4 linked regions of the Arabidopsis thaliana genome follow. The protein of the gene in region 1 interacts with the protein of each later gene in a pairwise test. Each region holds a gene or a part of one and is shown in the gene's direction. Other genes may lie near its edges.

What was found.
Region 2: the proteins of AT5G52420 (region 1) and AT1G61610 interact in a protein complementation assay, tested with the Arabidopsis thaliana proteins (one large-scale study listed by BioGRID).
Region 3: the proteins of AT5G52420 (region 1) and AT5G42370 interact in a protein complementation assay, tested with the Arabidopsis thaliana proteins (one large-scale study listed by BioGRID).
Region 4: the proteins of AT5G52420 (region 1) and AT1G47670 interact in a protein complementation assay, tested with the Arabidopsis thaliana proteins (one large-scale study listed by BioGRID).

The regions. Positions count from the first base shown.
Region 1 is NC_003076.8:21,279,969-21,283,329, forward strand, and holds AT5G52420 (uncharacterized protein), read left to right. Parts: upstream 1-1,804; 5' UTR 1,805-1,848; coding exon 1,849-2,577; 3' UTR 2,578-2,838; downstream 2,839-3,361. Other genes in the region: AT5G52430 (hydroxyproline-rich glycoprotein family protein), read right to left, coding at 3,125-3,361.
Region 2 is NC_003070.9:22,731,569-22,737,370, forward strand, and holds AT1G61610 (S-locus lectin protein kinase family protein), read left to right. Parts: upstream 1-1,790; 5' UTR 1,791-1,903; coding exon 1,904-3,209; intron 3,210-3,291; coding exon 3,292-3,402; intron 3,403-3,480; coding exon 3,481-3,686; intron 3,687-3,774; coding exon 3,775-3,985; intron 3,986-4,061; coding exon 4,062-4,299; intron 4,300-4,387; coding exon 4,388-4,535; coding exon of another isoform or gene 4,536-4,574; exon of another isoform or gene 4,575-4,632; coding exon 4,633-4,941; 3' UTR 4,942-5,290; downstream 5,291-5,802.
Region 3 is NC_003076.8:16,938,460-16,943,665, reverse strand, and holds AT5G42370 (Calcineurin-like metallo-phosphoesterase superfamily protein), read left to right. Parts: upstream 1-1,931; 5' UTR 1,932-2,202; coding exon 2,203-2,319; intron 2,320-2,495; coding exon 2,496-2,906; intron 2,907-3,000; coding exon 3,001-3,141; intron 3,142-3,252; coding exon 3,253-3,360; intron 3,361-3,446; coding exon 3,447-3,752; intron 3,753-3,912; coding exon of another isoform or gene 3,913-3,971; coding exon 3,972-4,167; intron 4,168-4,254; coding exon 4,255-4,337; 3' UTR 4,338-4,685; downstream 4,686-5,206. Other genes in the region: CML37 (calmodulin like 37), read left to right, coding at 351-908.
Region 4 is NC_003070.9:17,536,105-17,541,748, reverse strand, and holds AT1G47670 (Transmembrane amino acid transporter family protein), read left to right. Parts: upstream 1-2,029; 5' UTR 2,030-2,262; coding exon 2,263-2,639; intron 2,640-3,334; coding exon 3,335-3,468; intron 3,469-3,598; coding exon 3,599-4,026; intron 4,027-4,108; coding exon 4,109-4,240; intron 4,241-4,426; coding exon 4,427-4,915; 3' UTR 4,916-5,124; downstream 5,125-5,644. Other genes in the region: AT1G47680 (uncharacterized protein), read right to left, coding at 660-974. UniProt on the Arabidopsis thaliana protein: Amino acid transporter.

The DNA.
Region 1 (3,361 bases):
TATTCTGTCAAGATTGAGAATCTCGCACAACTTAACAATGAAAAATACCAATCTCGTCGTTTCACGGTAGGCGGGTATTACTGGTATGTAGCTATAATCTTGCTCTTATATATTACCATTTATGTTTTATGAGACATGTAACACATATAGACCATGATTTTACTATGTACACATTAGCTCCTGAAGGGTTAAATTAAATCTTCATCATAAGAAAAGAACATGAATCTTTCTTACTTTATGCAATAATATTTCTGTTAAAAAGAAAACCTGCAGGAAATTGATTATATATCCAAAAGGGAACGACGAGGACCATGGAAGTGGTTATATTTCAATGTACGTAGAAATAGACAGCACATCTGAAGTTTTTGCATATGTCAAGTTCTTCGTCTACAATAAGAAAGAACAAATGTACTTTACTATTCAAAGTTGTTGGTTTAAAACATATCTATATTATTCAATATTTATATTAACTATATAAGACTTGTTCATTTGTCACATATGTCACGTTGAATTACTCCATTTTTTCTAATAGATACTGAAGTAAAGCGTTTCAATGCTTTAAGAATGGTATGGGGATTCTCTCAAATGCTTCCTCTCCACTTATTCGAAAATCCAAAAAATGGATATATATTCGACGGGCAAAAATGCGAGTTTGGTGTTGAAGTGATGGTTGTTCCACCCCTTACCAATTGGGAAGTGATGTCTTTTGATCAGAAACTCTCACCATCCACATTCTCCTGGAGTGCCAATGGTTTCTCCTTATTGACAGAGAATCTTTATGTGTCAAACAACTTTTCAGTTGGAGGAAGAGAATGGTGAGGCTAATAAGTCATTGAATATATATACACGTCTATGTATGCTAAGTGTATACAAAATAATGTGACTTTTCTATAGGTGTTTGAAGATGTATCCAAAGGGAAGAGAGGCAGATGGCAAATGGTTGTCCTTATTTCTGCATATATATAGCTGATAGTGAAACCTTTTCGGAGGATGAGAAGATTTACGTGCATGCAGATCTCCGAGTATTATACCCACGTCCACATGTATACAACAATCACGTCACACAGAAACGTATAATTAACTTTGAAACACAATTTTCTATATTCTTGAATAAATCACTTAGTTGCTTTTTTCAAGTCTTAACTAAATTTTCAATACCTTACATATATTTATTTTTCTTGCAGTTAACGTCTGTTACAAGAAATCAACTCAAGGGTGGGGTTGCGAAGATTTTGCGGCTATAGCCATCGGGAGTGTAATTACTTGGACAATGACACTTTGACATTGGAGGTCGAATTTAAAGTTGTTTCTACAACCAAGTATTCTCACCCATGATCTAAGCTCTTCTTGTAGAATATCTACAATATTCCATATTCTACTACAAGTCTAGTAATCTACAATGCCTTGTTTCATACGATTTCTAGTAATTAGTTCCTTTTTAGTTAAATCAATTCTACAGTTTATGGTTCCGGATTCATTTCCTGCTAACTAATTATATCATTTTTTATAACTAGTAATCATTGAAGCTTATAATTGAAATCTATAACTACAAAGCCTAGTGCACTTACGTCCAGAAAGCCAAAATAATTAGGCTTCCTATTAACACATATATTTATATGTTTCTTAAGAACTTTTACGAAATTACCTGCATGTAGTTAAAATAATAAAATCTAAACTAATTGTGAGCACAACAATAATCCGCCACGTCTTCTAAACCTCTTCCATTCAAAACTCTTCACTATCCGCCACGTGTCCCCTTCTTCACACTCTTTTTATCTTCCTCCACCTCTAAAACTTTCTCACCACATTTTCCCGAGAAAACAAAAAAAAAAAACTTACACCAAAACGATGTCTGGAGGTGTCGGTCCAACGTACAACGACATAACCTTACCCAAAGAAGAAGAAGAAGAACATCAAACCCAATCCACCTCAACAGTATCATCCACCGGAAAACCCGCCGGATTCTTCTCATTCCGACAACTAAACATCCTCGCAATAATCATCGTTCTCTCCGCAAGTGGTCTCGTAACAATCCAAGATTTCATATTCACGATCCTCACTCTCATCTACTTCTTCTTCCTCTCGAAACTTATCTTCCCACCACACAACAATCCAAACCGTGACGCTCCTCTCACAAGCTCCACAAACAAAATCTTCCGTATCTATGTTACAGCGGCGGGGATCGTCGGGCTTATCATTCCGATCTGTTACATCTTCGAAGGAATCGTTGAGGATGATAAGAACGGTGTTAGCGCAGCTGCACCGCACGTGTTTCTTTTAGCGAGTCAGATTTTTATGGAAGGATTAGCGACCATGTTTGGCTTCTCTGCTCCGGCGAGGATTCTTGTTCCGATTGTTTACAACGCCAGGAGGGTTTTGACTCTTGTGGAGTGGATTATGAGTGAGTTCTCGAGGGAGGATGTGACGGGGACGGTTTCTGCGCGGCGGATGTATGCCGGGAAAGTTTTGGCGGCGGCTAATTTAGGGATTTGGTCGTTTAATCTCTTTGGTGTTTTGATTCCGGTTTATCTACCCAGAGCGTTTAAGAGGTATTACGGTTCTGATAAGGAGGATTGAAATCCCGGTTTAGTTCCGGTTCCAATAAGGAGAGTCAAAACCCGGTTTAATTCCTTTGTGGTTCACAGCTCTTGTTGTTTTCCCTTTTTGTTCTGTATATTATTTCGATGTTTTCTTTTGAACAATTCAGTTTATGTAGTAGTTCACAGTTGTATTAGATTTCTTACGATAATAACCGAATCTATGTTTCTGAAAGAACAGAAATGAAAATGTTTTAGTAATGATATAGAATAAGACCATTCACGATCTCAGTTCAAACAATATATTTGTATGAAACAGTAAAACAAGAAATAAACAATTTATATCAATGTAACAAGATTAGATGTAGGAGCTGATCCAAGAATATTCCAAAGTTTCCAACTACATGAGTACAGAAGTTAACTGCAAATCAAAGCTTTAAGCTTATTTATTCAGTGTGTATAAGTTGTTAGAACCCAAATCTCTTACCTTTTTTCACGATCCATGTTCAAGGTTTGTTACTTATAGGGTTTTATATCTCTGTCTTTGGTAATGAGGAAGAAGAAGAAGAGATGTCATTTTAATTTGGTTAGCTGACTCCAGATCGTAACCCCGGGAAGAAACTCCAGCTGTTTCCTGCAACCTTCTCGATATTCTCGTCTTTCGTGTTGTCGAATTTAAATTCTTTGCTAGATCCAATCGATGAGGAACTCAGCTTCTGAATTCTATGCTGTTCGTTCTCTCTGTCTCCTGACCTTTTCTCTATGTTTCTTCTTATGTCTGTTGATGAACTCTCCTCTGTTTCGATCCGGTCATTGTTGTTCAT
Region 2 (5,802 bases), on another chromosome or scaffold:
AATATCATACATGTATGGAATTCAGAATATAAGAAAATACCATCTGTGAATGTCATTGTGTTCCTTCAATATTGGCGTTTTAGTTTCATATTTAAAACTCATGTTTCTCTCTTTTGGTCGACGGAGACCAAAACAATACTGAATGATTGGTGTTTCCGTGTTTGTAGTTTCTTACCAAACATAGGAAATGACTCTAATACGGGTTTGGTACGACTGAAGAATCCACAAACCATTAGAAAGAATTGTGTTCATTTGAAGCATTTGACAATCTTGATTTCTTTGTTTTTCTTTCGTTGAGAATTATTGATTCAAAAATGAAAAGCATGACAATGTACAAAGGTTTATAGCGTTATCTATGTATTTCACCCTTTGGTTTTTGGGTAGAGCGTATTTCAAACCTGCAGGACTAGTGTTTAAAGTTTTGGTTATAAATGTGTAAAATTTACAAGGGCTTTGAATGTTTCGTAGATTTTGTAAGAGTTTTTGGATTTTGTTTTTCAAAAACTTATTTTCATACCAATCAAGATTTTAAAATTTTGGTTTCCCTACAATTTAGAAAAACTATTTTGTTGTAATTTTCCATTTATGATTTTAGTTTTTTAGTTTTCCTAAAATTTAGGAAATTTAGTTTTTACTTCATCAACGTTATTTATCTCAAAAACTAAAAACCAATTTTTGGGATTTTTAAAACAAATATATAATAACAAAAATCTAAAACTAAAATCTAAAATCTAGAAACTAAAATCTAAATCCAAAAACTGAATCGAAAATCAGCATCCATTCAGGGCCAAGATCTCCAAATTTTACCAGTTGCAAAAATGATGGATGAGAAATATTGTAAAAGTTGATTCATTTTTACATACTTTTTTTATTTATCAATAACGTGAAATTTATTAGTGTTTTTTAAATAACAACTGTCATGTTATTTTAACCGATATCACACTGTTTGATATGAAATCACATTATTTCTTCAAATCAAATGCAAAACACACACACACACCATTTATTTAAGGTTTTGCTATATATATATATATATATTTTTTTTTTTAATAACAAATTTGCTGAAAATTTCTTATCTATAAACCAAAATAAAAATAAAAATAAAAATCTAAGCATATGATAAAGCCATGTTTAAAATGGGTTTGTACCAAACTAGGCTATAAGACGAGGACTTACACGAGTAATAAGTGGTGGGGCAATATAATTCTCCAAAAGTCATGCCTTCGCCAGTATCATGTCACTCACTGTCGGAAAATGTAGTTTATTTGCTTCCTCACACGCATGTCAATGAGTGAATCTGCGCAAGAGGAACTTGTGCTTCGTAATGCAGCTAGATTATATTCATCACAAAATTTGAATTATGCATATTTCCATAATTGCGTTTTGTAAGGTGAAAACGCCACTCAACAATAGAATTTACAGTTTTTCTTCACCAATAAATTTTTGAACTCATAAAAATAAAATTGTACTGTTGTGCCCCAATCTATATTGATTACCATTCTACATTAGTATTTTTATGTATTTAGAATATTTATTTATTTTGGATGTTTTCAACCACCCAAATGAAGAAGGTCGTATTCTCAATAAGAGATAAAAATCAATTGATATATCCTTTTCTTGCCTTAAAAGTCACAATTTTGCACTATAAAATCAAAAGTCTTAAATAAAACGTGAAAGTTCATATTCTTGTCAACACGAATTCGTCGGTTGTCCTTTTCATTCGTTGGTATTTGTTTTTGGAGATGATTTCCACTATTTTCCTCAATTTTAAAGACGACTTTTCTCGTTAAATTGAGAAAGACCAAACTAGTCTACATGAAACTTCGATAGCCACTATTTTTGTTCTTTTCTTTCTTTTCCTTCTTGTTATATACAGATCTCTGAAGCTCAAATCATCTCAAATATGGCAGGATTTAACAGAAACCTTACTTTGGTGACGACTCTTTTGATATTCCATCAACTATGTAGCAACGTATCTTGCTCCACAAGCAACTCATTCACTAGAAACCACACAATACGAGAGGGAGACTCACTGATCAGCGAGGATGAAAGCTTCGAGCTTGGATTCTTCACCCCCAAAAATTCGACGTTAAGGTATGTTGGAATATGGTACAAGAACATAGAACCTCAAACAGTTGTTTGGGTTGCGAATAGAGAGAAGCCGTTGTTGGATCACAAGGGAGCTCTAAAGATTGCAGATGACGGAAATTTGGTGATCGTGAACGGTCAAAACGAAACCATTTGGTCCACAAATGTCGAGCCCGAGTCAAACAACACGGTTGCTGTTCTGTTCAAAACAGGGGATTTGGTTCTGTGTTCAGACTCAGACAGAAGAAAATGGTATTGGGAGAGTTTTAACAATCCAACCGACACTTTCTTGCCCGGTATGAGGGTTCGGGTGAATCCTTCGCTTGGAGAAAATCGCGCATTTATCCCGTGGAAATCCGAGAGTGATCCTTCACCAGGAAAGTATTCAATGGGGATTGATCCTGTGGGAGCACTAGAGATTGTGATTTGGGAAGGGGAAAAGAGAAAATGGCGTAGCGGACCGTGGAATTCGGCTATCTTTACCGGTATACCTGATATGCTCCGTTTCACAAATTATATTTACGGGTTTAAGCTCTCTTCTCCTCCTGATAGAGATGGTAGCGTGTACTTCACGTATGTTGCCTCAGATAGTTCCGATTTCTTGAGGTTTTGGATTAGGCCTGATGGCGTAGAAGAGCAGTTCAGATGGAATAAGGATATCAGGAACTGGAATTTGCTTCAATGGAAACCAAGCACGGAATGTGAGAAGTATAACCGTTGTGGTAATTACAGTGTATGTGATGATAGTAAGGAGTTTGATTCCGGTAAATGCAGTTGCATTGATGGATTTGAGCCGGTTCATCAGGATCAATGGAACAACAGGGACTTCTCAGGTGGCTGCCAAAGAAGAGTTCCTTTGAACTGTAATCAGAGTCTGGTTGCAGGTCAAGAGGATGGGTTTACGGTACTTAAGGGAATAAAGGTGCCTGATTTTGGATCAGTTGTTTTACATAACAACTCAGAGACCTGTAAAGATGTATGCGCAAGGGACTGTTCTTGTAAGGCTTATGCGTTAGTAGTAGGGATCGGATGCATGATTTGGACCCGTGATTTGATCGATATGGAACATTTTGAACGCGGTGGAAACTCTATCAACATCCGGCTAGCGGGTTCTAAACTAGGTTTGGAAAAATGTTTAAGCTATCATATAACATTGTGAAAGATTTAAACATGACTAATCTGTTTCTTTTGTTGTGTATACAGGTGGTGGGAAGGAAAATTCAACACTTTGGATAATTGTTTTCAGTGTTATAGGAGCATTCTTACTAGGATTATGCATTTGGATCTTATGGAAGTTTAAGAAAAGCCTTAAAGGTAAAGTCTCTATTCGTACATAGTCTTGTTTCACAAGAATTAAACTACTGAGACTGTCAATTACTCCATGATCTGCAGCTTTCTTGTGGAAGAAGAAAGATATCACAGTTTCTGATATCATAGAGAACAGAGATTACTCAAGCTCGCCGATCAAAGTTCTAGTAGGGGATCAAGTTGACACACCCGATTTACCAATATTCAGTTTTGACAGCGTAGCCTCAGCTACTGGAGATTTCGCTGAAGAGAACAAGCTTGGACAGGGCGGATTCGGTACTGTATATAAGGTAGAAAATGATTTTTTTTTTCTGACAATAATACTGGATAATAAAACTTTGCTTTGTATGCAAAAACTTATGTGTTATGTTTGGACAGGGAAACTTTTCAGAAGGAAGAGAGATTGCAGTGAAGAGACTATCAGGGAAATCTAAACAAGGACTAGAGGAGTTCAAGAACGAGATCTTACTAATCGCGAAACTCCAGCATCGGAATCTTGTTAGATTACTAGGATGTTGCATTGAAGACAATGAGAAGATGCTTCTCTATGAATATATGCCAAACAAGAGTTTGGACCGCTTTCTTTTTGGTATGTTTTTTTCTAAACAATTTCAATTAAAATGTTTTGAAAATGTTCGGATTGAGTATATAATGACTCTGCGCAGATGAGAGTAAACAAGGAAGTTTGGACTGGAGAAAACGATGGGAGGTCATTGGAGGAATCGCGAGGGGATTACTTTACTTACATAGAGACTCAAGACTAAAGATCATTCACCGTGACCTAAAAGCTAGCAATATCTTGCTAGACACGGAAATGAATCCAAAGATCTCGGATTTCGGTATGGCTAGGATATTCAACTACCGACAAGACCATGCCAACACAATCCGAGTCGTCGGCACATAGTAACTTAACAAACCTCTTTATCTCCTCTAAATTAAACAATATCGAACTCTATCAATTTTTAATGATTTTGATGTTCAACAAGTGTAGTGGTTATATGGCTCCGGAGTATGCAATGGAAGGGATATTCTCAGAGAAATCAGATGTGTATAGCTTTGGAGTGTTGATATTGGAGATTGTGAGTGGAAGAAAAAACGTTAGCTTTCGAGGGACTGATCATGGAAGTCTCATTGGTTATGTACGTCTCTTTTCTTTAACCATAAATTTTCAGGTCTAACTAAAATATTCGAATATTTGTTACTAATGAATGTTCTAAACGGAAAAAAAAAAATAAGGCGTGGCATTTATGGAGCCAAGGAAAGACAAAAGAGATGATAGATCCAATTGTGAAGGACACTAGAGACGTGACGGAAGCGATGAGATGCATCCACGTGGGTATGTTGTGTACACAAGACTCGGTCATTCACAGACCAAACATGGGTTCGGTTTTGTTGATGTTGGAGAGTCAAACCAGTCAACTTCCACCCCCGAGACAGCCGACCTTCCACTCGTTCTTGAACTCTGGTGACATTGAACTCAACTTTGACGGTCACGATGTTGCCTCCGTTAACGATGTTACTTTCACAACAATTGTTGGTAGATGACTCACTGACCAGAAGTTATTTTTCCCCAAAACGCTCTTTGACTATCCATTTGGTCTCGAACTCTTTTCTCCATAGTTTTCAACTTTTTATACATAATTAAATTCTTCGTTGAAAATATTATAATACATGTACATTGACGATGAAAAACTAATCGGATTTGTACACAACATACTTTTAGCAACAAAAGAGAAGAAGCTCAACAACATACTTAATTGTGAAGAAAAAAGCGTTGTTGTTCGAACATGAATTGGAGAAGTTGGAATATGGACAAAGGTAGTGGCATCGAAGGAGGAATTTCCAGTGATTTGAGATTTAATGAGTTTTAAGATGATTTTGTTGAATTTTAGGGAATTAGAAAATTTGTTATTAAATTTATAAAAATCTTCCCTTAAATCATATGATTTGGACATTTGTATTCTTAATTTTTTTTTTTTTGACATCTCACATATTTCTTTTTTAAAAAACTGTAAAACCATAAAAAAAAAAAAATTATTTACGGTTTCTATATGATTATAGCTTTTATAAAACTAAAAACCGTAAAACCAAAAAACCGAAGTGAAACCAAACCGAAAAACGGTATGCCCATCCCTAGGGCTAGTAATGAAATCAACACTCTTGAAGTGGAGTTATCTACATTTTTATGTTTGATTATAAATTATATTTTTCCACCCATTTGTAAAAATCCTATTTAAAAGAGAAAATTTTCATTTATAACTAAGTTCTCATTTGTGAACAATGTTGGTTGATTTGATTCTACATTTTAAAATTAATAATCCAATAACACTTGAGTTTTACAAACTTTTTAAATTCATGTTTGAATAACACAAGATTTTAATACAAATCACACCAAAACCTTTATTC
Region 3 (5,206 bases), 4.3 Mb from region 1:
GCTACTTTTCTTAATCTAGTCGTCGATATGACATCACATTTCACACAATACGTGAGAAAAACTTACCATCACATTATTACGAAAACACCCCTAGTCGTGGTCAACTTGACCTTTCCCCACAAACACTCATTGCGGAGGAAACTTCCCGGCCACCGCCGCGCAACCGCCTCTAGCTTTAAATAATAACACCAAAATATTCAAACCCGTGTTTTAACCGTCGAACAATCAAGAATCTCTCCACCATTACACGCATTCACATACTCATCTATATATAATCTACCACTTCTTGAAAAGAATTTGCATCAGAAATCCATTTCCCAAATCTTCTAGATTCATATTCAAATCAAGAAATGACTCTCGCTAAGAACCAAAAATCATCATTGTCACGACTATACAAGAAAGTTTCCTCGAAGAGATCAGAATCGTCAAGAAACCTTGAAGACGAATCAAGAACGAGCAGTAATAGTAGCGGAAGCAGCTCGTTAAACGTTAACGAGCTAAGAACCGTTTTTGACTATATGGATGCAAACTCAGACGGGAAAATCTCCGGTGAAGAGCTACAAAGCTGCGTTAGTCTCTTAGGCGGCGCGTTATCGTCACGTGAGGTGGAGGAAGTGGTGAAGACATCAGACGTTGACGGAGACGGGTTTATAGATTTTGAGGAGTTTTTGAAGCTTATGGAAGGGGAAGATGGTAGTGATGAAGAAAGGAGGAAGGAGTTGAAAGAAGCGTTTGGGATGTATGTTATGGAGGGGGAAGAGTTTATTACGGCGGCGAGTTTACGGAGGACGTTGAGTCGACTCGGCGAGTCGTGTACGGTTGATGCTTGTAAGGTTATGATTCGTGGGTTTGATCAGAATGACGATGGAGTTCTCAGCTTTGACGAGTTTGTTTTGATGATGCGTTGAGATGATATATATGGGATTGGGACATCTTCCTTCCCTCCTCAAAATTTTATTCATTCAATTATTATTTTTGTGAGAGATTCTTATTCCTTTGTATATTTGTGTCTCATCTAATCTATTTGTATTATTTAACACACTTCATAATAAACGTGTCTTGTTTTGATATTCTGAATTTGTCAAAACATACAAAATGTGTTTATATGTCTCCCCATAACTGAGAATACCCAATTAAGGGGACTAAAATCTAAAACTGCGAGTCGTAAAAGAGGCCAGTCATCACCACCATTTGCCGCTCGACCAATGTCACTAGGTGAGTGAGAAACAACCGATAACGCGCGTATATTCTCACATCACTCATTTTTTGGTAGAGGTCGGTAAAACATTTCATATCGTTTGACGTTTGTAAATCTACAGTTTTATTATGCTAGAACAATGATATTGATTCACATTATTGGATGTTTCTATAATTACAGTTACAAACAGATACATAATTATTGCACCAATTCACTTTTTCTATTCAATAAGAGATAATATTGTTTGTAAACCTTTTAACTAAAACGATCCGCTTCGAAACTTGTTTCTTAATGTCTAAAACAATATTACACTTCACAATTTTGCCATCCGTAGAAGTCTCTAGTGTAAAAAATTCTGAATTTGCATGGTTCCGGGGAAATTTTATACAATCTAGAAAATTGGAATAAAATTTTCATAAAATTATTTTTTTGGTCGGATAAAGTTTTCATAGAAGAACACATATTAAATGGATTTATCATCACATAGTAGTAGATAAACAATTTAAATTATGTAATACAAATCAAAATGAATTAATCTATTTGCCACATATAGTGAATTTGATTTCTATTCAAAGGGGAAAATACAAATTCATTTTTAATATGTAGTAGATATTTGTTTCTCAAGTAATTAATATTCATATTTAAAAAATCATTGCATATGTTAAACAAATCTACAAAAAAATTCAATGGTCATTCCATAATTATAAATAATACGGATATTTCACAAATTCACTTTTTGTTTGGAACCCAGAAAAAAGATTCATAAAACCAGGCAATAGAAATTTCATCTGAAGAAAAGAAAAAGTAAAGCTATTAAAAATCAAAGCCACGAGAAGAAAGTAGAAAAAGTTACAGTCTCTGTCTATCAAAATCCCAACGGTAACTGAAAATCGCCGGAACCGAATCTGCGGCGAGCCAAAACTTGTGGATCTTTTAATGAAAACTTGAAGATTCCTCTTTCCACGGTTGCTTCTAGGGTTTTCTCTTCGATTCACCACATCGTCATGAACCAAATCTCTTTCTGGTGCCTTTCTTTACTCCTTACGGTGGTGATTGCTGCAGAAGAGACTCCTATCACTCGTATAGCCTTCGGATCATGCGCTAATCAAAGTGCTCCACAGGTAAATCAATCGTACAACCCCTACTTGGCTCTGGATTCAGTGTTTTAAGACTGCTCTGTTTGGCTGGTGTTTAAGTGAGCTGATTATGGTTTTTGTTTAATTAGCCGATGTTCTCTTAGATGATATAAGCTTGTGTTGCATACTATGTTAAACATTGTATTTTTGTTACATTTTAGCCGATATGGGATGCGATAAACAAGTTTGATCCGCAACTGTTTATTTGGTTGGGTGATAACATCTACGGAGATATAAGAAGACCACTTACAGTCATTGGGAAAGAGAGAACTTTTGGGCCATGGAGGAATTCACCGAGGTTTGTACCTTCTTCAGAGGAAGAAATGAAACTAAGATACGCTAAAGCCAAAGCTAATCCTGGATATTCTCGTATTCAGAGAAAAGCTAAGGTTATTGGTACATGGGATGATCATGATTACGGATTGAATGACGCTGGAAAAGAGTTTGATCGTAAAGTCATTAACCAAAAACTTATGCTTGATTTCTTGAATGAGCCTCTTGATAGTCCTAGGAGAAAGCAAGCTGGTGTTTATGCTTCTTATACTTATGGTCCGCCTAATCGGAAAGTTAAGGTATTAACAGAAACTCTTGTCTTCTTTGGTAGTTTTGTTAAGTTTAGAATGAAGAGCTTATATGTGATTTAACACAGTTGTGTATCTCCTTCAGGTTATAGTTTTAGATACTAGATATCATAGAGACCCTTTAAGAAGTGACGGGAGCATATTGGGTGATACGCAGTGGGACTGGCTCGAAAATGAATTGAGCGGTCCCCGAAGCGAAATCACTATCATAGGATCCTCTGTTCAGGTATCTGCAAATTAGACTTTTGTGTCCTGTTCCAGTTTGGCCATGGACTTAAACTTGATGAAGCCTGAGTGTCTTATTCCATCTAGAACTGTTGTCTCTTAACTTGTCCAGGTGATATCAAATCTTTCTGCTACCACTGGACCTCTCTTTTATATGGAATCATGGGGTCGTTTTCCAAAGGAAAGGAAACGTCTTTTTAAACTGATAGCAGATACTAAGGTATGGGATTGTTGACAGTAATGTTTCCAACTGTCAGTTTTCTTCTTTCCTCGTCCCCATAATTCTTCGTTGCTTTGACATTACAGAGAGATGGAGTTATATTCATCAGTGGAGATGTACATTTTGGAGAAATCACGAGATATGATTGTTCTGTTGGGTACCCATTATATGATGTCACCTCCAGTGGTCTAGTACAATCTGTTGAGAAAGTTGTCCCTCGTCCCTTGCGTTCCATAGTTAGGCTTCTTTTTTGGTATACTCCAAGCACGATGAGAGTTATCAATGATAACTGCAAATTCAAATCTTGCACATACGGTATTATTCTCAATTTGATTCCTTTTACGTTTTCTTCTGATAAACTGTGGAAAGATTTATTGACAAGCCAAGACACAGTGAGTCTACTTTAAGTTCCAACTTTAGCTCTATAGCTCTACTGTCACTAACCTAGGACGGAATATAGTAGACTGTAACTGTTGTGAGTTGATTTAACAGAGCAGCGATGTACTCTTTTGTATGATTACATTGGTTACAATATCTTAAACTTACGTGCAGGACAACAAAATTTTGGAGCAATATCGATAGATTGGAATGCAAATCCGGTTACCATAAAGCTCGAGATCAGAGATGTTAACGGAGACACTGTACTAGGCACGAATGTTTCATTATCTGAACTCCAACCAGGAGGCTCGAATTCTTTAAAAGATACAACAACTAAGGGAAAGTCTCAACGATATTGCACACTCGAAATTGAATTACCAGGAACGACCAGATACCGATTGGCAGTTCTCATCTACTTCACCATTGCTGGTATGTCATTCTTCCTCACTGTGGTTGGTCATGATGAAAGAATGTTGCGGAGTACTGATATATACGTTGTTTGATTGGGTTCGACAGTCTTGGCAATGGCGATATTAGGACTTATCATTGGAGCTGTATTGGCCATAACAGCATGCGTTTATAAATGCAAGGTCGATTGATTGTTGATGACATTAATCAACTTTTTTTGGTCCAACAAAAGTGTCTTTATGACTTATAATCTGTATTAGTTGGATTATTCAGGGATTACAATTCGGATGTAGCTTATAATGTTAAAAATTGTTGAACACATGGATTTTGATCTTGTGATGGGAATTCTAAGCTTGAGCTGTTATTAATTAAACTTCTTTGAAAGAGAATGTTTGTGAACACAAGTTAAATTCTAGACTACATGCAATAGCATTATAGTTTCCAGTTTCTTTTTTCTTTTATTATTGTAAACCAAGGTTTATCGTTTATTACATATGAAGGTTTTCACTGTCTATTTGTAATAAATTAAACAAATTAAAGTTTTTATAATTTCAGTAATGATCTCAAAACGGATACTAGCTTTGATTGGTGAACAAAAACAAAGTATATTGGCTTTGATTGGTGAACAAAAACAAAGTATTACAATTTGTACCGCTTTTATTTCTGTTAATTACAAAAGCTTTTTTAAAGCGTTACAAAAAGTTTTACTCTCAGCTTTATTACTATATAGCTTTCTCGTACAACTATTTTTTTACAACTTTGCAGTATTCCGAAAAAGTTTTTATCACCGTTAACAGTTAAGATTTGAACAGCTGTATGTTACCGATAGGATCCACTATACTTCCCAAATCTGATGTTAATTAGTAATATGAGGTTAATTTTTTACTATTTTATTGAAAAAGCGATATTCTTGCAATTGACCCATAATTGAGTCAGCTTAATTTCCATTTATTTTTTTTTTGTTTTTTATTTATTTTTTTAGCTTCCGCTTTCTGCAGTATGATCTATTTAAAATAAAATAAAAAAGGGAAAAGTGGGAAATCGATGCGTCAATCTTAGG
Region 4 (5,644 bases), on another chromosome or scaffold:
TTTGGTACTACAACAAGGATTAAAACCTTATTATGATATTTTGACATGTCGAAACATGTTGATTTAGTTAAAATTGTGTGGAAAAATTTTTGTTTATGATATATCGTGGGCTAATTAAATTTCGGTGTGTTGCAATGTATCATACTCATTTCAGCTTTCTTAGCTAAATATTACTTGTACTTCAATGACTAGTACAAAACACCCAAATACCATGACCTTGCTTGTTTTGATATTCTCTAATAAAACCCAACTTGGTTTAAACATCTCTAAAATCTGACTTAGTTCCAAGATTGACCAATCATCTACCTTCTTGAGATGCAGCCTCGTGATTATACTTCTTGACTCTTCATCTAGTTTCTTTAGATGTAGTCCCATGATCTTTCAATGACGTACGACTTCTCTCCACATATCATTTAGAATCTTCATTAGATACCTGGAGACTCCTCCTCTATGCAACATCGATTGAACTCCCTTGAAGTAAAGTCTCCTCCTTTATCGGTACAAAAGGTTTTAATAGACAAGCCGACTTGCTTCTCTAAAACTCTTGAAAAGCTTTTGAACCGATCAAAACTTGAATGAATATGTCAACAAGGAACCATCTTGTTCTTGTTGACTGATTCAAACTCCTCTTCACATCTTTCCTCCATTAAAGCACATCTTTAGCCTCTTGGCTCATTACTTGTTGAAAGTTGACGTCTCTTACTTTTAACATAAGCTTGGTGGAACAATCCATAAGTTGTTTCGGACTGCATAACATAGTCTTCAAGGTACCGCGACTGACTTATTTGTCGACCCGACCTTCTCAGTTGTGGTACTCCTTGAACTACTTCACCAACCTCATTATGGTATTTTTTAGTGATATCCTCCATGCCATCATCTTCTTCATGTACTTCTCCAACATCTTCTCTGTGAATCAACTCCAATATGATATAACCGAGCATGTCATGTCCTTGTAGCTTCAGTAGAAAGTCCATCGACAAGTGATGTTGGATAATTCCTAACTTGAAGAGCAAGATATCTCCTTTTAGTAGATGGTAGAAGAGATACAAGAAAATAAAATACAAATAACGTCAAGTTGGACATAATTTGTAACTCTTCCTTTTCAAATCATGACTAAACTCTAAATTTAGATGTAATTTAGCTTAGTGGTAGGTCAGAGCAAATGGATTTGGTTTATACGTTTGCAATTATGTAATTCCATGGATGTAGTTTGAAAGACCAAACTTCATTACAATTATGTGTATCAATTTATTTTGCTTACTCGTATCTATTTTATCACTAGAATACAAAGATTTTGCTAACTCCAAATCTATTATTTTCAGACAAGCATATCCTGTAAATCTTCAATCATCCAAAAAGTGATGTTGAGTTTAGATCCAACTCCAAAATGTATTTATCTTATTTTTAAGTAAAAAACTGAAGAAATGAGTTTGCGAATCTTTTAAATAGTTATTTTGTATAATGCATATTAGAGAAAGAACAAAGATAAATTTTTGTATCAAATATTTAAACTGAGTTAATGGTGGTTTATGAAGGGTGTTATAGTGCATTCACTCCCTTATATAATCGATATCTCTAATCCCTTGGTAAAATTAAATTGTTGTATTGAATTTTTTTATGAAAGAGTAAGGTGAGTTGCAAATTTTGCTTGGCCTCAAAAATTCTTCTCTCTATTTTTTCATTTACATGTTTGAAGTGTTACTTTTTACTTTGCTAAGATATTTCAGTGTTACTTTTTAATCTACATATTTCATTGTTATTTTTTAATTTACATATATCAATGTTATTTTTCCACTCAGATAAGGTGAAATATTTCAGCTAACTTAAAGTGATTATGATCATCAACACCTATTTCATGTCAATTTTTTGCTAAAAAATAAACAAATTGGTCATAATGTTCAAAAACTTGACCTCACCATCATAATACTTAGTACTTACTGGTCAAACAAACATATGTTCAGAACTTTTGTATTGATGGGGAAGGTTACTTTTGTCGTAATGTTACAAAAAAAAAATTGTTACTGTTGAGACCATTATAAATAATCATGTCATGTTCTTTAATTATCAACTTTGATTGTCATTTAATTGTAAATTTCGTTAGTTAATCTGTCCTCTTCTTGTAATTAAATAAAAATTTGTTTCAATACCAATAAAGTTGTCCTAAAAAAAACCACCCCTCTAAATAGGGAGTGAGTGAGAGAGAGAGTGATAGTGAGAACAAAAAAAAAACATCATTTCTTCTCGCACTCTTCACCTGCTCCAATGGACGAAAGACCCGAGACAGAGCTAATATCAATACCAGCCACACCACGAGTTTCAACACCGGAGATTCTAACTCCCTCCGGTCAAAGATCACCTCGTCCGGCCACCAAACCATCGTCGGCGACATGGACTCCGACTTCGTTCATATCACCGAGGTTCTTGAGTCCGATTGGTACACCAATGAAACGAGTTCTTGTGAACATGAAAGGGTATCTTGAAGAAGTTGGTCATCTCACTAAGCTAAACCCACAAGATGCTTGGCTTCCAATCACTGAATCTCGTAATGGAAACGCTCATTACGCTGCTTTTCACAATCTCAACGCTGGTGTTGGTTTTCAAGCCCTTGTTCTTCCCGTCGCGTTTGCGTTTCTTGGCTGGTGCGTTTGCGTTTTTCTTGATTTTTCCAATAATCTTTTTTCTTGTTTTTGAGTTTTTTCTTGAACTTTGTGTTTAGTGTTTCAAGATTATTTTTGTTTAGTGAACGGCGAGGGTTTATTCGACTCTCTGTGGTGCTCAGATCCAGTTTCAGGGTTCACTTTACTTGTTTGGGCAAAAATCAAAAATGTTTTTCTTGTCGGAAATAATAATAGGATATTGACTAATTTACTTTTTAACTTTGAAAACATTTCAATTTTAGCAGTAGATATTTTCTTTTTAATTTGTCATGCTTCCATCATTACACATGTGGATACTCACAGACATACTTTTTTGCTTTAATTTGGATTAAGACAGAGCCTTCTTTATCGTCTACTTTGTTTCTTGTTAATTTCCGGCAAAAAACACTTTTCTGAAAAGTATTTATTGTGTATATATAAGTAGGGCATGTAGTTGACGTCATAATAGATGACTATTTCTTCTTATAAACTTATATTTAGATAAATATTTTTTATTGCAAGTTCTAATATTTGAAACTATACATAACTTGTTAAGGTGGAGCATTTGGCTAGTTCAATACTTAAATAGCTTAGTGATGAATAATGATATTGCAATGATCATGTATTTGAGATTCTTATGTAAGAAAATGCACATATATTATTTCCAAACTTCAAGAAGTGAATTATTGTTGTTACAGGAGTTGGGGAATACTGTCTTTAACAATAGCATATTGCTGGCAACTCTACACACTGTGGATTCTGGTTCAGTTGCACGAAGCTGTCCCCGGGAAACGCTACAATCGATATGTCGAGCTTGCACAAGCTGCTTTTGGTAAAATGATAAATTTAGTTTTACATTAAGAATGATGAAATAATGCATCAATAGTGACAATTATTATTGATACTAATTTTGTGTCTTGCTAAGTTGCTATTACTAAATCTTGTACTCTTGATTGGAACAGGAGAAAGGTTAGGAGTATGGCTTGCATTGTTTCCTACGGTTTACTTATCAGCAGGAACCGCGACAGCGCTGATTCTGATCGGTGGAGAGACAATGAAACTCTTCTTCCAGATAGTTTGCGGTCCATTATGCACCTCGAATCCGTTAACAACAGTTGAATGGTATTTGGTGTTTACATCTCTCTGCATCGTTCTGTCTCAGCTACCAAACCTCAATTCTATTGCGGGACTCTCCTTAATAGGAGCAGTGACTGCAATAACTTACTCCACAATGGTTTGGGTTCTCTCTGTGAGCCAACCAAGACCAGCCACTATCTCATACGAGCCTCTTTCTATGCCTTCGACTTCTGGTTCACTCTTCGCTGTTTTGAATGCTCTTGGCATTATAGCTTTTGCCTTCAGAGGTCACAACTTGGTTTTGGAAATTCAGGTAAAATATGCAAAATATTTCTGTCTATAGATAATGCACATATTGGACTTATGATTTATTCTGAGTATTGAAAACTTTGTAGTCGACGATGCCATCAACGTTTAAGCATCCTGCTCACGTACCAATGTGGAGAGGAGCCAAAATCTCTTACTTCCTCATTGCTCTGTGTATCTTTCCAATCTCCATCGGAGGCTTTTGGGCTTATGGGAACCTTGTAAGTTCCATTTACTATATCTTTTGTTTATGTCTTGTCAGTGAAGGATGTTTATCTGGTGTTTGGTTCATGTTAGTGAAATATAGAATTCAAAAGGAACACTAATATCATTTATTTATAGTTCGTTTTCTGATCTTTGGTTCAATTTCCGGATTAGTTTGAAGTTATTTTTTCTTGGTCTTATAGATGCCTTCAGGAGGTATGCTTGCTGCTTTGTATGCATTCCACATTCACGATATCCCGAGAGGCTTATTAGCGACGGCATTTCTCCTAGTAGTCTTCAGCTGCTTGAGCAGTTTTCAGATATACTCCATGCCTGCCTTTGACAGCTTTGAAGCTGGCTACACAAGCAGAACCAACAAGCCGTGTTCGATTTGGGTCAGATCAGGTTTCCGAGTCTTTTTTGGTTTTGTCTCGTTTTTCATCGGTGTTGCTCTCCCTTTTCTGTCTAGTCTTGCGGGGTTGCTCGGTGGACTCACTCTCCCGGTCACATTTGCTTATCCTTGCTTCATGTGGGTCTTGATTAAGAAACCGGCGAAATACAGTTTCAATTGGTATTTCCATTGGGGATTAGGTTGGTTGGGAGTTGCATTCAGCTTGGCATTCTCCATAGGTGGGATCTGGAGTATGGTTACCAATGGACTTAAGCTCAAGTTCTTCAAGCCGCCTAACTAAGTAGTAATAGCCTATGTGGTTTTGTTTGGTTGGGAAGTTTGAAGTTTTAAGAGATTTTGTATTTCTGTGTTTTGTTTAAGAGTGCCTATGTTTTGAAGTTGGAACAATGTAATGTGTATTATAATTCAGTAAGCTTTTCAATATAAAGAATTTGGAATTTTGAAGAATCACACTTGTGTGCCTCTGTTGAATCCCTAGCTGGAATTTTCCCAACGTGGTTTTCTCTTTTCCATCTTTTTTTCAAATTATTTTGATACTACTAAAAATAACGATACATGAGTATTAAACTAAATTAAGCTAGATCAAGAATTCGGATTCAAAGTAATCGTTTTAGTGTATGAAAGATGATATTCTCGGATGATCTTTTGTTCTGCACAACTTTTTGGATCCTGCGGGAAGAGGGAAAGTATATAGAATTACATGATATCATATGTTGATATCAAGCGACTTGACATAAGAATTGGTGAAGCTCATGTTTGATGAAAATTGATGTACAAGTATACCCCTGTCGACGGACGACTGCACTACGATTTGTATAAGAGCAGATACGGGGCATGTTTTTAGAGTGTCTTTTTGTACATGAGAATTTAGATGTGTGCATGGTTTCATGTCTATTACGCATTTAATACCCTCAATGTACATCGAGTCGATTTCTCTGTCATGTTCTAGGTGAAGTGTCGGACCGCCAATGAGATTGTGGGATACGGGCTTTGCCCTCCATGCCCAATT